4 linked regions of the Drosophila melanogaster genome follow. Changing the gene in region 2 together with the main gene of any one other region gives a genetic interaction. Each region holds a gene or a part of one and is shown on either strand. Other genes may lie near its edges. The genes, in order: Dcp-1, nanos, Drice and E(z).

What was found.
Region 1: of nanos (region 2) and Dcp-1, changing one suppresses a phenotype caused by changing the other (phenotypic suppression), as found in Drosophila melanogaster (one study listed by BioGRID).
Region 3: of nanos (region 2) and Drice, changing one suppresses a phenotype caused by changing the other (phenotypic suppression), as found in Drosophila melanogaster (one study listed by BioGRID).
Region 4: of nanos (region 2) and E(z), changing one suppresses a phenotype caused by changing the other (phenotypic suppression), as found in Drosophila melanogaster (one study listed by BioGRID).

Annotation. Positions count from the first base shown.
Region 1 is NT_033778.4:23,549,311-23,554,065, forward strand, and holds Dcp-1 (death caspase-1), read left to right. Parts: upstream 1-2,002; 5' UTR 2,003-2,412; coding exon 2,413-2,564; intron 2,565-2,990; coding exon 2,991-3,553; intron 3,554-3,613; coding exon 3,614-3,870; 3' UTR 3,871-4,237; downstream 4,238-4,755. Other genes in the region: pita, read right to left, coding at 1-581, 638-1,726. UniProt on the Drosophila melanogaster protein: Involved in the activation cascade of caspases responsible for apoptosis execution. Proteolytically cleaves poly(ADP-ribose) polymerase (PARP). Loss of zygotic DCP-1 function causes larval lethality and melanotic tumors.
Region 2 is NT_033777.3:19,155,161-19,160,724, reverse strand, and holds nanos (nanos), read right to left. Parts: upstream 3,488-5,564; 5' UTR 3,225-3,487; coding exon 2,753-3,224; intron 2,210-2,752; coding exon 1,740-2,209; intron 1,667-1,739; coding exon 1,403-1,666; 3' UTR 1,116-1,402; coding exon of another isoform or gene 1,020-1,115; 3' UTR 523-1,019; downstream 1-522. Other genes in the region: Nsun5 (Nop2/Sun-like domain containing protein 5), read left to right, coding at 62-492; CG11779 (uncharacterized protein), read left to right, coding at 1,020-1,115, 4,179-4,259, 4,323-4,860, 4,928-5,564. UniProt on the Drosophila melanogaster protein: Maternal RNA-binding protein that is required for germ cells proliferation and self-renewal. Acts by forming a complex with pum and brat that regulates translation and mRNA stability.
Region 3 is NT_033777.3:29,797,890-29,802,108, reverse strand, and holds Drice (death related ICE-like caspase), read right to left. Parts: upstream 2,452-4,219; 5' UTR 2,212-2,451; coding exon 1,192-2,211; 3' UTR 525-1,191; downstream 1-524. Other genes in the region: Etfb (electron transfer flavoprotein beta subunit), read left to right, coding at 1-160; Rnb (R and B), read left to right, coding at 2,840-3,001, 3,108-3,200, 3,278-3,871, 3,929-4,219.
Region 4 is NT_037436.4:10,634,075-10,639,953, reverse strand, and holds E(z) (enhancer of zeste), read left to right. Parts: upstream 1-2,074; 5' UTR 2,075-2,192; coding exon 2,193-2,314; intron 2,315-2,376; coding exon 2,377-3,108; intron 3,109-3,169; coding exon 3,170-3,330; intron 3,331-3,513; coding exon 3,514-3,528; intron 3,529-3,860; coding exon 3,861-3,958; intron 3,959-4,016; coding exon 4,017-4,206; intron 4,207-4,268; coding exon 4,269-4,838; intron 4,839-4,906; coding exon 4,907-5,316; 3' UTR 5,317-5,379; downstream 5,380-5,879. Other genes in the region: CG18628 (uncharacterized protein), read right to left, coding at 1-34, 98-155; Cnep1r2 (CTD nuclear envelope phosphatase 1 regulatory subunit 2), read right to left, coding at 585-739, 1,254-1,400, 1,460-1,531, 1,629-1,650; CG34001 (uncharacterized protein), read right to left, coding at 5,382-5,687, 5,756-5,879. UniProt on the Drosophila melanogaster protein: Polycomb group (PcG) protein. Catalytic subunit of the Esc/E(z) complex, which methylates 'Lys-9' and 'Lys-27' of histone H3, leading to transcriptional repression of the affected target gene.

The sequences.
Region 1 (4,755 bases), on a different chromosome or scaffold from region 2:
TCTTCTAAGTATTCCGTCACGAATTCTTCCTGCTTCACATTGTCCATGTCTTCAAAATCGTCAAGATGTTCCTCCTTCTCATCGACGCCGCCTTCTCCTTCGCCGTCGTCTTCGAACTCGTTCTGGTACGGCTCCATTTCCACCACATGATCGTCCTCGATGTGGCGCTGCAGGCATTTCTGCGTCAAGAAGATGTGGTCACAGAACTCGCAGGCATGGCGCTCGCTCTGCTTGTGCTGGTCCATGTGGCTCTCGACACTGTCGATATCTTCGATCTGCTTGCGACACATGGGACATTTCAGGCTGGCGGTGGCATGAATGAGCGCATGATCCAGTAGGTCGTTATAGTTGCTGTACGACACCTTGCACTCACTGCACACGAACGAGGCGTCGGAAGTCTGCGTGTGCGTGCGCAGGTGGCGCGAGAGATGATGCGACAGCATGTAGGACTTGTGGCAGTACTTGCAGGGATAGGCTCTCTTCCCGGCGTGGGCAACCAGGTGGCGGGCCAGCTTGGAAGCGGTGGAAAAGCTTCTCTCGCAATGCTGACAGGGGAAGGGAAGATTGGTGGAGTGGACTGTCTGAAAGTGGACATAATCGTTAGCCGGGGCAATCCCAAATATGCTTGTCAACCCACCTCATGACGCTCCAATCCCTGCTTGAAGGCAAACGACTTGGTGCAGACACCGCATTGGAACGGACGCTTCTTCTGATGTCGCTCGGCGTGCTTCTCCATCTCCTGGCGCGAAAGGAAGGGCTTCTCGCAGTACACGCAGATGAACTTGGGTACGTCCGTGTGGGTGCGCTCGTGGCGATGGAGCAATGCCTTCCGTGTGAAGGCTTTCGAGCAGATGGCGCACTTGAATGGCCGCTCGCCGGTGTGCACAAAGTTGTGCTTGGCCAGGTCGTACTTGGAGAAGAAGCTCTTCTCGCACAGGAGACACTGGAAGCTGCGCGAGCGAGTGTGATTCAGCCGATGGATCTCGAGCAGCTGCTGCAGCGGAAAGGAGCGTTCGCAATCGGGACAGGGGAACACATCGGTGGCCACCTTCTCGGCGTTCTTGGTCGGATCATCTTGATCGTCCAATGGCAGATCCGAGTCCAGAACCTCTGTCACTATGGCCACATTGCCACTATCATCTCGCTTGACTTTGGGTGTGGCCAGGCGCGGTTCCACCGGAGCGGCGGGTCCCTTGTTCAAGATCCTAATCGAGGACTTGTTCAGCACCTTCGGCTTGACGGGTGATGCCTTCTGGGGGATATCGGGGAACTCCTTCTCTAGCTCACTGGCCATATCCTCCAGCATGCTCTGCACATCGTCCATGGACAGCTCCTGGTTGTTATCCACCTTCAGCTCATAGGCGTGCGAACGACGTGGCACTGGAGAGGAACCGGCTACCGTCCTGGGGGTCACCATGGCGCTCTCCAGCACCTGGACGTCCTCGATGATCACCTGACTACTGGATTTGGCCATTGTGTTCAGCAGCTTTTTGGGCGTTTCGCTTGGCTCGGCTGTCTTTGCTGGCACGACCAACAACTTCTTGGAAGCCACCATCGTCATGGGCGCACGGGGCTTCTCCAGCGGCGATGGCCAGTTACCCGTGAGCGGATACTGGCGCAGGAGGGTCTCCGCCCGCTTGCACATCTGCTTGAAGCGGTAGCAGTGCTCGAAGAGGAGGCGGCACTCCAGACAGATGTGCCCCGGCATTCCGTCGCCGGCGTAGACCTGTTTTTAATGTTAGATTAGATAAATGTGTGAGTGACTAGGAAGCTACATTTATTCGGGGAAGTCCGTGCTTAAGCCAAATAATAAGGTAATATTCGTGGAACACCCCTATATGTTTTTCGCTACATAATAAATTAAACGCCATAAATGTCTCTTTCCCTTAAAATGAACAATATAATGTTAGAGTTTAAATTTAAACAAAGGCGCCGAGGACCAGAACACCCTCTACAAATTAATCGATGGCCACCAATCGATGATTAGTGCTATCGACGAGCGGCCATCGCCGCTTGGCGGCAAGTGCATACACACGACTACATGCAATCGCAGTTTGTTTTCGCCGCTCAGAGCACGCTTAACCTCCGTTAATTGATTGATTAAACACGTCCGACTGTGAGCCATAAAAGGACATTCGCTCGATCGAAAGCCGACAAAAGCTGGCTGAGAAGCGCAAAACAGCTGCGCTGCGCAAAGTTTGGCCAACGCAGAGCAATAGAAAACAGAAGCAGTGTCAGAATAAAACAAGAATCAGACCAAAAAGGGCGCAACAACTGCGGAGAGAGAAAAGGAAGGAAAGAGCAGCGCGTGAGCGAGGGAGGAGCAGGAGGGAGCGAACAAAAGGCAAGAGGAAACACAAGGAGAAACGCAAACAATCAAAACAAGAACTTAAGCAAGAAAAGGGGCGCAAGATGACCGACGAGTGCGTAACCAGAAACTACGGAGTAGGCATTCGCAGCCCAAATGGATCGGAAAATCGGGGCAGCTTTATAATGGCTGATAATACCGATGCCAAGGGCTGTACGCCGGAGTCTCTTGTTGTTGGTGGTGCAACTGCAGCGAGGTGAGTCCATGTGCCTCGCTCTCTCCCTCTCCCATCTCTCTCTTTATGTTTCTGTGTTTTGTTATCAATGCAAGTACTGGCATAACTGCTATATCCTAGTTTCAAATGCAGCATATAAAGCTCTTTTTTTTTTATTTATTCCATTTTCATTCCACAATCTATTATTTTTATATTATTTATACTGTCTATTGCCAACATTTAAAATCAATGTGTCAATCTGTCTTTATAATGTTGTTAAAATGGCTGAAGTCACAAAGTTTGAAAGCACTTGACTTTAATTCTATTGTTCTATTTAGTCTTATTCACAAATATATTTGAAAATAATTACATAAATAAATACCCAATCATCGATTATTTCGCCGATTACCTTATCTTATCATGCTGCTTCCCAAATGGCTATTATAATTCTGATTTCTTTTTCCCCAGCCCCTTGCCGGCCAACAAGTTTGTGGCTCGAATGCCCGTGGAACGATATGCAAGCGAATACAACATGAGTCACAAGCACCGCGGAGTTGCGCTGATCTTCAACCACGAATTCTTCGACATACCCTCGCTGAAGAGCCGCACCGGAACAAATGTCGATGCCCAAGAGCTGAAAAAGGCCTTTGAAAACCTGGGATTCGCGGTGTCCGTGCACAAGGACTGCAAGTTGAGGGACATCCTGAAGCACGTGGGGAAGGCCGCCGAGTTGGACCACACGGACAACGACTGCCTTGCGGTGGCCATACTCTCGCACGGGGAGCACGGCTACCTGTACGCCAAGGATACGCAGTACAAGCTGGACAACATCTGGCACTACTTCACTGCCACCTTCTGCCCCTCGCTGGCGGGCAAGCCGAAGCTGTTCTTCATCCAAGCCTGCCAGGGCGATCGCTTGGACGGAGGCATCACTCTGGAGAAGGGCGTTACCGAGACGGACGGGGAGTCCTCGACGAGCTACAAGATACCCATACACGCCGACTTTCTCTTCTCCTACTCGACCATTCCGGGTAAGGAATATGATTAGGTAACTATTTTAGTGAATTTCACTAGCAATCTCGTCCTGTTAGGCTACTTCTCCTGGCGCAACATCAACAATGGCTCCTGGTACATGCAATCGCTGATCCGCGAGCTGAACGCCAATGGCAAAAAGTACGACCTGCTCACCCTGCTTACATTCGTTAACCAGCGCGTAGCCCTAGACTTTGAGTCGAACGTGCCCGCCACACCGATGATGGATCGCCAGAAGCAAATACCGTGCCTCACCTCCATGCTGACGCGCATACTGCGCTTCGGCGACAAGCCGAACGGCAATAAGGCTGGCTAGGAAGAGATCTCCCTTCGAAGAAGAACTTTCAACAGAGGTTGTACAACCATCGCCCGCAATCATTCACGTTGGATTCCAATTCACTTCAAGTTTAGTTTTAGCTGACGCGTGCGATTATCCCGATGGATATTGAAGCACCCGACTCCCTTTCATTCATTCCCCTGCCTTTCCCATGCCCATTTCGGCCTTATCATTGACGAAATTCGTTACCCATTTACCCACTAGATGACTTCCGTATGCATAAGCGAGACCTTGCCAATAGAAAACCCACAAATTTGAGATAAGATAATACAATGAAGATTTATACATACATACATACTTTTATGTACACGCAAACATTTATATTTGATATGAATAAAAATGAATTAAAAACATAGCAAGGTATCTCCCCAATTGAACGTAGATGGGTAATTTCGATCTAAGCAACTTTGTTTGAAGACAGGAGCTGTCTGGGCCAGATTGAGTACGTTGATATGGGAAATAAAAGATAACAATGAAGACTTGGTTGGCTGAATCAGTGAAATTGTACGAAACTTTAGTGGAATTCAAATTAGCATTATTAAGAGTGATTAATTAAGATTTTTCTCACTCTAATTTTATTAATTTCCTAAATTTTATATTTATTTCCTAATTTTATAATTTAGGAAATTAATAAAATTAACCAAATGATGATTTTTGCGTAAATATAAGTATCGAAGGAACTATTAATGCATTTAAATATGATCTCGATTTGAATTTAGCGCCAAAAACAACTGACAGCTGTCAGGGCGATCAGCTGTTGACGCACTAGTGTGCGTGTGGCGCAGTACAGTTGCCCCAAATCGCAGAAATTTTCATTTTTCTTTGCACAAGAGGAAAAAGGGAAAGCCCAATGATTAGCCAACT
Region 2 (5,564 bases):
GAGTTTTATATTTATATATTTCACAATGAATATTTAAAAAAGTAACACGTTTGAATTTCAGCACCCGAACGCTTTCCGGACGTAGAGTACATCCTGGTGGACCCTAGTTGCTCTGGCAGCGGAATGCAAAACCGCATGACCGTGTGCGACGAGCCGAAGGAGGACAAGCGGCTGCAAAAGCTGCAGGGTTTGCAAATTAAGATCCTGTCGCACGCGATGGGCGCCTTTCCGAACGTCAAACGCATTGCCTACTGCACGTGTTCGCTGTGGAAGGAGGAAAACGAGCAGGTGGTGCAGCGTTGTCTTCAGCTAAATCCATCCTTCAAGCTGCTCAGCTGCAAGAAGGCCTTGCGCAACAAGTGGCACAATGTGGGCGACAAGGACTATCCCAATATTGGCAAGAACGTCCTGTATTGCCAGCCGGACAGTGATCTTACCGATGGCATCTTCCTGGCCCTTTTCGAGAAACGCCGCGAGGGCGAAAAGGATTAGTTGTTTCAAACGCAAGAAGGACATTTGTTTCCTTAAATTGTAACCATTTCTTTATTTGGCACTCGAGCCATTGAATTTTTCATTTTCAGAATATGTGTACACATTTTTTAAAAAAATAAAAAAATTATATAATGCTGGCGGTTGTTTCATGTGTGAAAAATTGATCAATGGTAAACAAAATTGAATAAATATATAACATATATATATATATATATATATATATATATATATATATATATAGATATGTGTGTTGAAATGAATACTTGCGATACATGTAATAAAAATACTCTTCGCTTATCTATCAAAAAGTGCGGAATGTCAAAATTTAAAATTTTACAATGAATGCGTAGCCGACGACGAAAGTGTTCCTTGCTATTTCCTTTAGCAAGATTTAAATTTAGATTAAATTCTAATGATACGATTGACAGTTCGAAATTCAAAGTGTTCCTTTTTCAAAATTTAGTAAAGATTGTAGATCAATTGTAGATATATCGAAATTTTTCGGCCGCAAGCGAACATTTTACGAAATGAAGGCGACCAGTTGCAGACCAATTCCATTCATCAACTTTCGGATTGTAAGATATTTCTATCGGCCACGACGATTGAACAAGTATTACGATATTGTAAGTCTTCTTTAACAAAATTAGTTTCCCTTTCACAGAAACAGACATAAATTCTTGAATTATTGACTTGGATTTGAGTGATCGTTCGTTGTCTATACTATAAGATCTATAGGCACGGGATAACGCTCTAAATCTCTTTAAAATCGAACGCGCCAGGCGCTATTTAAACGTTACTATCTATCTATCTGGTTAACCCAGCTTTGATCGGAATGCGTATATATATTTCATGTTATATAAACGCTGCAAAAGCTGCCAGAGCCTCTGCTCCAGAGCTGGATTCGCCCTCTCTAAACCTTCATCTGTTGCTTGTAGTAACTGCTCTTGGCTAGGCGGAACGATTCCGCCTTGATCGCATCCTCCATGGTGATGATCGGCTTCTTGGGGCAGTACTTAATCGTGTGCGCCGAGTCCCCAGATGCCCCGCAGATGGGGCACACGTAGGTGCGTAGTTTGGGGCACAGCACTCGGTTAAAGTTATCTCGCACTGAGTGGCTATTGATAACCGCCTCTGGTTCGTTGTTATTCTCACAAAAGACGCAGTGGCGGCTGATCTGTTGGAGAAACAAGATAACAAATATATTTTGCAAGTTTTAATTCTGCGAATCCTGGATCAGATCCACTCACCTCTTTGGCCTTGCTGTTGTAACGCTTGTACACCTTGTTGTTGTTGTTATTATTGTTACTGGAATTGGAAGCTCCGCGCAGCTGTTCGCCCTGCACGGGCAATCCCAGACCCATTCCCACGCCGAGATTGGTGGACACAGTGGCCGCTGTTTGGGCCTGCAAACCCATTGTATTGGGAGCGGCTGGTATATACGACATGTTTCGCCACACGTTGTTCAGATGCTCCCGGTAGTTGTTCAGCCAGTGGGTGGCGAGTGGAATGGGCATTAAGTTGCCGCCATTGGTCTGCAGCTGGGCAGGATTGCGGCCCAGTGGCAGGTGCAGCCCCTGCTGTTGCTGATGCTGCTGCTGCGGTGGCATTTGCACCTGTGGCGGAGCACTCCCGTAGGACATGCGACCGAGATCATCGCTGGCATAGCCATTGGTCGCGAACTCCTGCATCACATCCTGCATCGAGCCAGCCGCATTTTCTGGGAATAGCAAGCTTTTCATTACCTTGTCCTGAACGTATTTTTTTTATTATTCGCGTTTCAATTGCATTTCAGAAATGTAATAAGCAAATACGGATTAGTTTTTGCATACAAAAAAAAAACAAGAACAGACGAGAAAAAGCAAAGAACTTCTAGAAAATGTAAGACGCAAAATGGCTTTCCGAAGTTAAAACAAAAAGGAATAGCGAAAATGCTAAGGTCAATGGCCGAAAATTCAGGGGCGCTCGAAAAACCTCTTGAAGGGGATACAAGTGTTGGGCAAAGATATATTTTAAAGCACATACAAAATAGTAAAATAAAAAATATACTACACTAAATGGCGAAAATCCTCTGACCTCTGCAGCAATTATACATTTACACAATTTTACTTCTGTTTTGCTCTGTGCTTTCGTTGCCCCTTTAACTAAGCCCATGGCCATTGACTTTGGCATAACTGTACTTGTACAGATAGTCATCTCGCTCCCGCGCACTGTTTTTGGCTATTCTGTTTTAAACGACGCCATATTCGCCATTTCTTCTTACCTGCTGCGCCCGTCGTCACCTGCGCAAAGATTTTCAAGGATCGCGCAATCTCGTCCGTTTGCTGGTGACTCGCACTAGCCGCTGCCGCTGATGCAGCCAGCGCCAATTGGTGCTGCGCCATGGCCAGTTGCTGCTGCTGCTGGAGCAGCAAGTGGTAGTGGTACTGTCGCTGCATAAGGAGCGAATTGGCGGTGGCTGCGCTGTCGGCCAGAAAAGGGAAGTGCGTCGACTGCGCAGACGTCGACGGGTCAGGGGTCACCGGCGTAATGGGCGGACTCAAAGTGGCCGACGAGTTGGCCCCACTGGTATCCAAATACATGTCCTGCAGGCCCAGAATGTTGAGCCCTCCTCTGGCGTGAAAAGCAGAAAAGTTATCCTGCAATTGGAAAATCTTTCCAGACTGAGCCAACGAGGGGGGATTTGCAACACCTACTGCTGCTGCGCCACTGCCCTCCAAGTTGCTGCGGAACATGGCGAAAATCCGGGTCGAAAGTTACGGTTATCGCGCACTCTACTTTCCACAAATCCTCACCCAAAAACCAAGCACAGTTTATTCAACTGAAGTATTCGCGATACTTCTTTATCTAATAATAATGTACATGTAACTAAACTCGCTTTTGGGTTAAAATCGTGACGCAGAGGCAAAAAAAATCGTATGTCCCTTAGACAACTTGAAACAACTGCGAAGCGTACGGCAATTCCAGGAATTTTGTGGTAAAGCTACGCGCCAACTAACGGTTCTTGCTTAGAGGTGGAATAATGTAGTTTTCCAGCGATAATAAATATATCGATATTTTTAGTAAAATTGAAAAGGTAAACTTAATTTTAGAAAATAATTTATAAGAAATTTAATAGTATGCAAAATAATTTTTACTTGCTAAGAATATGTGCCACTAATTAAAAGCTGGACACCGCGCAATGGAAAATAGTACTACAACACAGCAACAAAGCCTGAGTTATCAACAAAAAAATACGAAAACATCTCCCAAAACTAAGCACCCACACGCGCCACTCGCCGTCACAACACAATCACTGCACACCACCATTCGAATTTCGCGCACTGTGACAACATCACATGATATCGGCGCGGCAACATCGGATTACCGACAAAACGAACTATCGCACGAGCCACCGCCGGCGAAGAGCGCTCGTTTTGCAACACCGGCGCGCGCTGAACGAAGAGAACAGCTGACTGCTTGATACGTGCGTGTTTCGCGGCAGGAATTACATAAAGTTTAGAGCCTCTGACGCCAGACCCCCCGAACATTCGCTCCGATCAAACTACCTGCGAACGGTCACCTAATCCCCACCATGGTAGGTTACCTCTGATCCCGGTCATCACTGGCGTTCGCTCACATCCGTCCTTACATGTGCATATTTCGAGGTTAAAACGGTCGAAGCTTTCAATGATTTTTTCTCCTTGCAGTACAGAATAGCTGCCCTTGTGCGGGATCGCGCCTGTCTCTTCACGTGCCAGCAGGCCTCGCAGAACCTGCAGCAGCAGCAGGTTAGAGTTTGGCTCATAAAACCCCATGGCGCAACCGGCCTAAGTCATGACTTTACTCCGCAGCCCCGCTTTTATAGTGCGCCAGGTCGCAGGGCCGGCTTCTTCTCGCAGTTCTTCGACAACATGAAGGCGGAGATGGATAAGAACAAGGAGATCAAGGACAATATCCGAAAGTTCCGTGAGGAGGCCCAGAAGCTGGAAGAATCGGATGCCCTGAAATCGGCGCGGCAAAAGTTTAACATTGTCGAATCGGAGGCGCAAAAGTCGTCTAGCATGCTAAAGGAGCAGCTGGGCGCCATCAAGGAGCGCGTAGGCGATGTTCTGGAGGACGCCAGCAAATCCCACCTGGCCAAAAAGGTTACCGAGGAGCTCTCGAAGAAGGCTAGGGGGGTCAGCGACACGATCTCCGACACCAGTGGCAAGCTGGGCCAGACCAGCGCATTCCAGGCTATCTCTAACACGACGACGACCATCAAGAAGGAGATGGACAGCGCGAGCATAGAGAATCGTGTCTATCGTGCTCCTGCCAAGTTGCGAAAGCGCGTCCAGCTCGTCATGAGCGATAGTGATCGCGTTGTGGAGCCCAACACGGAAGCCACTGGTGAGTCTCCATCTTTTTCCTTCAATAAGATCAAAGGTCATGGCCATAATGTAATGTTACTTTTCAGGTATGGAGCTGCACAAGGACTCCAAGTTCTACGAGTCGTGGGAGAACTTCAAGAACAACAATACCTACGTGAACAAGGTGCTTGACTGGAAGGTTAAATACGACGAGTCCGAGAACCCTGTTATTCGTGCCTCCCGCCTGCTGACCGATAAAGTGTCCGACGTCATGGGTGGACTCTTTTCAAAGACAGAGCTTTCGGAAACGATGACGGAGCTGGTGAAAATCGATCCGAGCTTTGATCAGAAGGATTTCCTCCGCGATTGCGAAACGGACATCATTCCAAATATTCTGGAATCGATTGTCCGTGGGGATCTGGAGATTCTGAAGGATTGGTGCTTTGAGAGCACTTTCAATATTATCGCAAATCCCATTAAGGAGGCTAAGAAGGCCGGCGTGTACCTGGACTCCAAGATCCTCGACATCGAGAACATTGAACTGGCAATGGGCAAGGTTATGGAGCAGGGCCCGGTACTGATTATCACGTTCCAAGCCCAGCAGATTATGTGCGTGCGGGACCAGAAGAGTCAGGTCGTCGAGGGAGATCCGGAGAAGGTGATGCGGGTTCACTACGTCTGGGTGCTGTGCCGCGACCGCAACGAACTCAACCCCAAGGCTGCCTGGCGGCTGATGGAGCTGTC
Region 3 (4,219 bases), about 11 Mb from region 2:
GAAGCCGCTGAAGAAGGTTACGGCCAAGGATCTCGGCGTGGACACCTCGCCCCGCATCGAGGTCATCTCCGTGGAGGATCCTCCTGTGCGCCAGGCCGGCGCCACCGTCGCCGACGTGGATGCCCTGGTGGCCAAGCTAAAGGAGGGCGGCCACATCTAGATGTTCCTCAACTAGAAAATTGTGAGCGCATATTCTACGTTTTTAATTAGTCGAAAGTTATCAGAAACGTGCATTTATCTAGCCGGAGAGTCGGATTTGCTGACAGGCTTTAAATTTCTCTGAATTCAACCCATACCCGTGTGCTTTAAGTGAACTATAAATTGGAATTTATTCTCGTTGTGTCCAGCTCTAAGAATAAAGTGATTGTAAGCTCTGAAATCGTACGATCAGGGTCAGCCAATGGCTGGACTCGTCTATTTTTCCGTCTCCGCGTGCTACCTTTTCGGGAAATGCCGCTCAACTTGGCGCCCAAAAGAGGCGACAGGGTCAACAGCAAACAGCCAATGGTCATTGATTTCTCATTGTTTTCAATCGGATTTATTAGCGGTTAACTTGAAAGGAGAACATTTGCTAATGTGCATTATATAAGAGTACAAATGGCATAGAAATAGTATATATTGTTCATAAAACACTCGACTACAGGCTAAAATCGTTTGTTTTCGTTTTGGACGACCATGACACACAGGCTTATACTATAAAGATATCTATGTGTATAAAATTGTAAAAAGGTCTTGTCTGTAAATGGTCTAAGGTAGATATAGATAAGGGTGGGCCGACATTCCTGATCGAGAATCAAAGAGGCGCAAGTTGTTCTATGATAAGGTTTAGTAGAGAATTTAAAATTTTGAGATCGTCTTTGTTCAGTTGGCAAGTTAAAATTGTCAAAAAATTTTGGCCGGAGTAAAAACCTCTTAGATTTCTAAGTTAAATCGATCTACTCTACCCACCCCAAAAAATATAAATACAGACGAGTAAATGCGACATTAATAAATGTCAATCGAAAGATACTTTGTGCCTAAATAAAATAAAACGGGCAGTGGCACCAATCTCGTCGAGCAATTGGGCAGGTTAAAAAAGTGTTGTATAAAAAATATGCTGCAAGGCCGATAGCCCATGAGGTTCTAACTTAATTGCGACTTGGTTTATCACACACCTCGCCGTACCCACCGTTTGATCCATACCATTAGCCATCAAACCCGTCCGGCTGGTGCCAACTGCTTGTCGCTGAAACGCAGAATGCGCGTCAGCATGGTGGTTATGCAGGGTATCTGCTTCTGCTGGTGCATCTCCGGAGTGTCCGGGGTGCAGGACTCAAAGTCCACGGCCACCCGCTGGCACACGAATGTGAGCAGGGTCAGGATGTCCAGCCGCTTGCCATTGGCCGCCAGTTCGGCGCACAGGCTCTGCATGAACCAGCTGCCGCGGGTGGTGTTGCGCCACGAATAGAATCCAGGAACCGTCGAGTAGGCGATCAGAAAGTCGGCGTGCACTGGAATCTTGTAGCTCATCGAGGAGTCGCCATCGGTTTCCGTCTGAGAACGCTGCATGGTCACTCCGCCATCCAATCTGTCGCCCTGGCAGGCCTGTATGAAGAACAACTTGGGTTTGCCGGCTAGCGAGGGGCAGTGATTGGCCGTGAAGAAGCTCCAGATGTTATCCAGCTTGTACTGTGTGTCCTTGGCGTAGATGTAGCCCATCTCGCCGTGCGACAGGATGGCGACCAGGATGCAATCACTATCGCTGTGATTCTGCGACGCTGCATACTCGATTGTCCTCAAAATGTCCTTGTAGCGGCAGTCCTTGTACACGGTCACTTCGAAGTCCAGCTGCTTGAGCACCCGAGTCAGATTCTCGCAGTCCACATTGGTTCCCGCGCGAGACTTCAAGGTGGGCACCTCGAAGTGCTCATGGTTGAAGATCAGTGCCATTCCGCGGTTCTTGTGGCGCATGTTGTACTCGGCTGCATGGCGGTCGGTGACCATTTTGGCTACATTCTTACGGTAGCTGGACGAGGGTGAGCTGTACCCGTTGGCCAGCTGCCCAATGGCTCCGCTGCCGTAAGGATGCGAGGATCCTGCGACCAGGCCGCTGCTACCCGCTCCTCCGGATCCCACGGAGCCCAGGGCATCTGTGTGATCGTTGGGCTGCTCCGGATTGCCCACCCTGATGCCCACCTGGTCGGCGGATTCTCCATTGTTAGTGGCGTCCATGGCTAAGTTCTCTCCTTGAGCCTGCGAAAACTGATGAGTCACAAGCACTGCGAAACAGGTTTTTCCAAATCTGTGAAAAGCTTGGATGCACGACTTGGGCAAATTAGCTTCGTTCTGGGGAAAGTCCGTGTTTACGCGCAACAAAGACAGCTAGTTATTAACTAATTACTTTAGTCGATTGCGTTTTTGTCTTTAATTCTGTAAGACCGTTGTTGGCAGTTGAAAAACACCAAATAGCGCCTGATTTGGTGATGACACTTCAGCCCTCGTGTCACGATTACGGTAAACAAAGAAAGTAAATAAATATAGGAAAAATTATTAAATGGGTTTTAAAAAATATTAAAATAATTTGAAATTAAAAGCTTGGAGGTAATTTTGTGGGAACTTGTATAATCTACATAAAAAACAGGCCTGCTTCCATTTATTATTGTAGAATCGAATTCGCATCCAAAGCTAAAACGTAAACATCAGTTTATAAATAAGGCAGACCGCTGCTGGATTTTCGAAAAATAACGTAAAATACCGTAAAATACGCTCTTATGCACGGTCACACTCTCAAAGAGGTTTGAGACGCACTGTAGAATTTGTTGAATTGTTTCAATTTGTTTAAAAATTAAGAAAATTACCAATGTTCTGGACACCAGAGCAAGTGGAGAGCATGCTGGAAGTGCTAAAGACCTCCACGGATCGAACAGTCATTTACAAATGCCTGGTGAAGCTGCGCACCGATCTGGTGAAGGATAAAAATGGCATTGTTTTATTTCGCACTGCTGGGGGCGTTCACATCATGGTGGGTTTGGGAGTCACAACGCTCATGGTGGTTTGACAGCCACTGCCGCTCACATAGGATCGTTATTCGAATCGATTTTTAAATCATTATTAATTGCGTCTTCCAGGTGCGACTGATCACCAAGCTGAATGAAAAGATAATGGAGGTGGTACTGAGCATACTGGGGAACTGCTGCACCGACGAACAGTCCTGCATTGAGGTGGGATTATCAGATTACATTTTTATCTTTATTTTGAACCACAACGGTTAAAAAAATTTAAAACTTTCCACTTTAAGGCTGTTGAATGCAAGGTGATTCACCCGCTGGTGACCATTCTGAAGACCATACCTAATCCCCTGATCCAGTGCCGCGCCTGCCGGATGCTTGGAAACATCGCCAAGAGCAAGAAGGCGTCCCAGTGTCTCACAGTGCACTATGCGGCCATTGCACCGGCCATCTGCCACATCATTGAGTCCACCAGTGCGGTGCAGACCCGCATCATGGCATTCCGCGTCTGCCGTTTCCTTCTGGCCAGCAGCCAGTTCCTGAAGTACTTCCTCATGGCCAATGGGTTCCAGCAGCTGATGCGAATTTTTCTGGCCGTGATGAAGAACGAAGAGGCATCCAAGGAGCCCGTTCCGGACATCGAGATGTCCACGCTGATTGGCCTGAAGAGGAACCAGCACCGTGAGAAGTATTTCGAGGAGGTAGCCCGGAATTTGGAGGGTGTTCGCAGTGACATCTTTGACCACCAGATGCTCAAGAATTCCACAAGGAACTGTGACTATGCGCTGCCCAAGGAAAATGAAGCGGCCGTTGAGCTGGCCCTCGAGATTCTGAAGTGTCTGGTCCTGATATCCGCGCAGCAAATTGGACTGAAAGTTTGGGAGGTGAGACTGTTTTCTAAGTTCTCCAAAACGTAGTACATAATAAACATTTCTTGTTAGTCCATTTCCTGGAATACCTCGCTCGCCTCCATTGTGTGCTTCGTAAAGGAGGACGGCGACCAACGGGCCTCTGCCCTTAAAATCCTCTCTAACTTCTGCAAGGATCCCTTCGCCTTCTACATGCTGAGCACTGCGGATGCCATTGTGGCTGCCTGCGAGATGCTCATGGCTGTGAACATGGCAAAGCCACTTAGCGAAAGCGAGAGCCGGCACTGCATCAACATAATCTTGACGCTATCCACCGATGCCTGCAGCCGCTCGAAGATCCGGAGATGTGGGGCACTGCGCAAG
Region 4 (5,879 bases), on a different chromosome or scaffold from region 2:
ACCATGGGGGCCTCGTTGTTCAGTTGGGGAAGGGCTAGAATGTATGGGAAGCAGTTAAGTAGAGCTGTTGTCGAGCGTAACCCATTGCAATCCTTGCCAGAGGCCATGAAGAAGGCGAGGCCCAGGATGAGAGTGCACACGAGTAGGAACTTCATGGTAAAGCTGGTTTGTTGTACAGATGGCTTGCTTGCTTCTGATGCCTTGGAACTGCACAGACTCCCTATTTATACAGAATGCGGCTCGATAAAAACCGCTCCAAATATACAAAAACACTTGTCGTTGCACAATTTGCGAGCAACTCGTTAGTTATAGATGAATTGATATTGAAATGTCGCTTGGTGTATTTGGCAGCGATGGGTAACGCCATTAACGAAACACATAAAGCTTAACAATTGATTTCTTTTCTTTTTGTTTTTTTGTACAAAGGAGCTTCTATAATTAAACAAAATGTGTAGGGGAGAAATAAGAGGTACTTTAAAAATACGCTTACAAAGCGAGGGTGTCCGAATCAACATGTAGGAAAAAAGAAAAGGGTAAGGGAACTAGCAATTAACTAAATAAACGTCCTGGAAGCTGGCCGGTGCTCATGTACTGTTGTTGTTACTTTGCCGCGGCTTGAGTATCAGCTTCCCCGTGTCGTCACAGCTCATATTAAAGTCTCCCAGTACCATTCGCGTTCTCGATGTAATTATTTGCGGAGCTATGACTAGTTTCTGTATGCCCAGGATGAACAGGACGACTGCGGAGAGAAATGATAAGGTTTACAAAATCAGTAAGTCAGTTTCAAACCAAAAAAATTAGATTAGATTAAATGGAAGTGTTTGTTAGCTGAAAATTCTTAATCAGTTGGACTATCAATATTGATATATACAAATCGAATTTGATAAAGCGAAGAGCTTTGACAAGATTAAAGGCAACCTAATGTTGCTAAAATTTGGAGAATGTACTTATGTAGTTTGCATAGATGTGATAGATATAAGGAGTGTATTCTACTCAAAATAACAGTAGAAATACCTAAAAATTTGAAATTCTTGATTTTGATCCTTTCTTTTTACCGAGTAGCCTGAGATAACCTGATATATAGTATCGACTTGCTCTACGATATGATTATATGGATTTAAATAGCATGGTATGGCTTGGTATTAAAATTATTCTCCATACTAGGTAGAATATCCGAGGTTCAATGACCGCCGCTGTTGACTACAAAAAGTGACCTATGTACGGAGTACAGTAGTGGCTACACCGATTCTTACCCAATGTTAGGGTGGCGACTGTGAAGACGGGATGAATCCAGAGGGACTCCGTTAGCGGTACAACGGTGGTGCGCGGATCGCGTAGCCAGTACCAGGCGCTGATGGCGGTGCACATGGACATGGCGGAAAGGACAACTGCAAGAAGCTCTATGGTTATTACGGATTGTAATGCTCCCTGGTGTTCTCATTATACGGATGCAACTTACTGCGCCAGCGGAACGTCGAGGGACGGTACGATGAAACCACTTCGGTGAGGCGCCGCTCGAAGGCCTTGAGATCTGCAGAGGAGCGAGGAAAACAAACCCAGTTATGGTTGGTAAACATAGTCAGTGGCTTGCGCGTTTTCCGGCTCTCTTTTGCCGGCGAGTTACATACCTTCGCAGGCTGACGGTTCCATTGCAGCTATTTCCTCAAAGCTCGTGGCCGTCTTAATGCGATTAAATTTGTCCAGTTTAAATATTATTGTATTTATTATTATTATTTGATGAGGTTCTCATAGCTTTCTTTTCCTCTTTTTATGTTTTTGATGACATTCCACGTTTGAGAGCACTGATAACGGGCTGCGTTTCTCAACACTACACAAAGCAGGGTCGTACCAAAGAGGGGCTCTTTGTTTATTTCCTACTTTCAGTACAAAATGGTTGTATAGCTAATTTAAAGTGAGTATTATATTTATGTATTATTTATATTATATTTATATTATTTTAATACAAAAATATCATAGTTTTTATTATAATATAAATATAATTAATGGCTTACCGGACAAATTAAGTACCCACTAAATGGTCTTCTACATACACCCATGTGTCTAAGTTATTCTTCCTGCAGTACAACGGTCACACTGCGGCAGCTGTTGCAAAAAAAGGCGGATAATATTTGTAGCAAAATCAGTGTTTTTTATACGTAAAATCAACAAATATAAAGTCCCTCGAAGGCATTATGAATAGCACTAAAGTGCCGCCCGAGTGGAAGAGGCGTGTCAAGTCGGAGTACATCAAAATCAGGCAGCAGAAGCGCTACAAACGTGCCGACGAGATCAAGGAGGCGTGGATAAGAAACTGGTAAGCGCGGGAGAGATGGTGGATGTCTGGGAATCGAAAATCTATGTACACATATCCTCCAGGGACGAGCACAACCACAATGTACAGGATCTGTACTGCGAGTCGAAGGTTTGGCAGGCTAAACCCTACGATCCGCCGCATGTGGACTGTGTGAAGCGGGCGGAGGTGACTAGCTACAATGGCATTCCCAGCGGTCCGCAAAAGGTGCCCATTTGCGTGATCAACGCGGTCACTCCCATACCCACCATGTACACGTGGGCACCAACACAGCAGAACTTCATGGTGGAGGATGAGACGGTGCTGCACAATATACCCTATATGGGCGACGAGGTCCTCGATAAGGATGGCAAGTTCATAGAGGAACTGATCAAAAACTACGATGGCAAGGTTCACGGCGACAAGGATCCCTCGTTCATGGACGATGCCATCTTCGTAGAACTGGTGCACGCCCTTATGCGCTCCTACAGCAAGGAACTGGAGGAAGCCGCTCCGGGTACAGCGACTGCCATTAAAACAGAGACGTTGGCGAAATCAAAACAGGGCGAAGATGATGGGGTAGTTGATGTTGACGCAGATGGTGAATCTCCCATGAAGCTTGAGAAAACCGACAGCAAAGGGGATCTGACTGAAGTTGAGAAGAAGGAAACTGAAGAACCGCTGGAGACTGAAGATGCGGATGTTAAGCCCGATGTGGAAGAAGTCAAGGACAAGCTGCCCTTCCCTGCGCCCATTATTTTTCAGGCCATCAGCGCTAACTTTCCAGACAAGGGCACCGCGCAAGAGCTCAAAGAAAAGTATGTAATTTGATAACCAGGTTAGTAAATATCCCTTCTTACGGCTTTTTCTTTTTGCTAGGTACATTGAGCTTACGGAGCACCAGGATCCGGAGCGCCCACAGGAGTGCACACCCAACATTGACGGCATCAAGGCCGAGAGCGTTTCCCGGGAAAGGACTATGCACTCCTTTCACACGCTCTTCTGTCGTCGTTGCTTCAAATACGACTGCTTCCTGCACCGTAAGTTAAACGATGGGAACTGCTGCCAGCTGGGTTACCTAATGACTTTACGTTTTGTTTTTGCTTTTCTTTTCTTGTTTGGAAACAATATTATCTTACCAAAAAACACAAATCTGTACCATTTCTTAAACCCCCAAAAAAAAAAACGAAATTCCAAAATGTATTGAATTAATTGCAATTTAGGTCACCATGTGCAGGGTGAGTCGTTGTTGTAGTTGTTGTTTCGATAACCACACGCACACACTCTCATGCCGTTTGCCCGTCAACGCCTCCGCATCCTCATCTCGCTGTCTATGAATATAATTTTTATAATAACCCATATCGGTGGATAATTTGGCTATGTTTGTCATGTGTCTAAATTGACCCCTCGGTGTTGCTCACCTCATTTTCGTGTGGCTTTGGCTGGACCATTTCTCTCTATCTCTTCAAATGTAACCGATTACCCTCATGCTAATCCAAAAGCGTTTCATAGACATCAAGTGATTTTCGCCCGATTGAGTTATTCTAATCCCGCTGCTCTGTGTTCACAGGCTTGCAAGGACATGCGGGTCCCAATCTCCAGAAGCGTCGCTATCCGGAACTGAAGCCTTTCGCCGAACCTTGCAGCAACTCCTGCTACATGTTGATCGTAAGTTGGATGCACTTTATAAATTTAAATGGTATTTTAATTCTGTTATATGCTGCAGGATGGCATGAAGGAAAAGCTGGCGGCCGATAGCAAGACACCTCCCATTGATTCCTGCAATGAGGCCAGCTCCGAGGACAGTAATGACAGCAACAGTCAGTTTAGCAACAAGGACTTTAATCATGAGAATAGCAAGGATAATGGCCTGACTGTAAATAGCGCCGCTGTGGCTGAGATCAACTCCATTATGGGTCAGTTTTAAGTTAGCAGATTGGTTGGACCATGTGTTAAATATTTCACTTTTTCTCACCAGCTGGCATGATGAACATCACCAGTACGCAGTGCGTTTGGACAGGCGCTGACCAAGCACTTTATCGGGTCTTGCATAAAGTGTATTTAAAGAACTACTGCGCGATTGCGCACAACATGCTGACCAAGACCTGTCGTCAGGTGTACGAGTTTGCCCAGAAGGAGGATGCTGAGTTTAGCTTCGAGGATTTGCGACAGGACTTCACACCTCCGCGCAAGAAGAAGAAGAAGCAACGTCTGTGGTCGCTGCACTGTCGTAAGATTCAGCTAAAGAAGGACTCATCCTCGAATCACGTGTACAACTACACGCCCTGCGACCATCCCGGACATCCATGCGACATGAACTGCTCCTGCATTCAGACACAAAACTTCTGCGAAAAGTTCTGCAACTGCAGCAGCGATTGCCAGAATCGTTTCCCCGGCTGTCGCTGCAAGGCTCAGTGCAATACGAAGCAGTGTCCTTGCTATCTGGCAGTGCGCGAGTGTGATCCCGATCTGTGCCAGGCCTGCGGAGCGGATCAGTTTAAGCTGACCAAGATCACGTGCAAGAACGTGTGCGTGCAGCGAGGACTGCGTAAGAAACCTTCTTATATATCCATATTGGTCTTCGCCACTGTCAACTAATTTAATCTTCAATTGCAGACAAGCACCTGCTCATGGCTCCGTCTGACATCGCCGGCTGGGGCATCTTTCTTAAGGAGGGTGCGCAAAAGAATGAGTTCATTTCGGAATATTGTGGCGAGATCATATCCCAAGATGAAGCCGATCGCCGTGGCAAGGTTTACGACAAGTACATGTGCTCATTTCTTTTCAATCTGAACAACGATTTTGTTGTGGATGCCACTCGGAAGGGCAACAAGATTCGGTTTGCCAATCATTCCATTAATCCCAATTGCTATGCCAAGGTTATGATGGTCACCGGCGATCATCGCATCGGCATCTTTGCCAAGCGGGCCATTCAGCCCGGCGAAGAGCTATTCTTTGACTACAGATACGGACCCACGGAGCAGCTGAAGTTCGTGGGCATAGAGCGTGAAATGGAAATTGTTTGATAACGAGTCTACTTATGAAAATCGTATCATACAAATTGAATAAAACTATATTTTTGAAAACACACCTAAACGGATTTAGCTACATTGGCTATAATTGGTTTGGGTCGCGATTTGAAGATTAATTTTTTGGTGCAAACGGCGCGCACAGTGTACTCCGTTCTTTGGCGACTCTTGTGCTCCTGGGCGATCGTATGATCCAGCACTGTGCGCTCCGCTCCCGTGGTGGCGTTCAGCATACTGACATCCTGCGAGGCCATGCTCGTTTCTAGGAGTCGTTCTCCCTCATTGGTCTTGGACTTTTCCAGCACCGCAAATGGTTTATCCAACTTTTGTTCACGTCCCTGAAGAATGTGATGTCCAATGATGAGAATCTTATGATATAAGTAAAATCAGATTGTTTAAGAGCTGGTTAAATTATAACTTTACAATTACAACTCACAGGTTGGCCATATTTATTGTAGTAGAGATCGCCAATAAACTGGCCGTGCATATCCTGGTTGCTCCGCACCTCCAGGTCGCCTTGCAGCTCTATAATGGCCCAATCGCCTTTGCCAGCGTTTTGT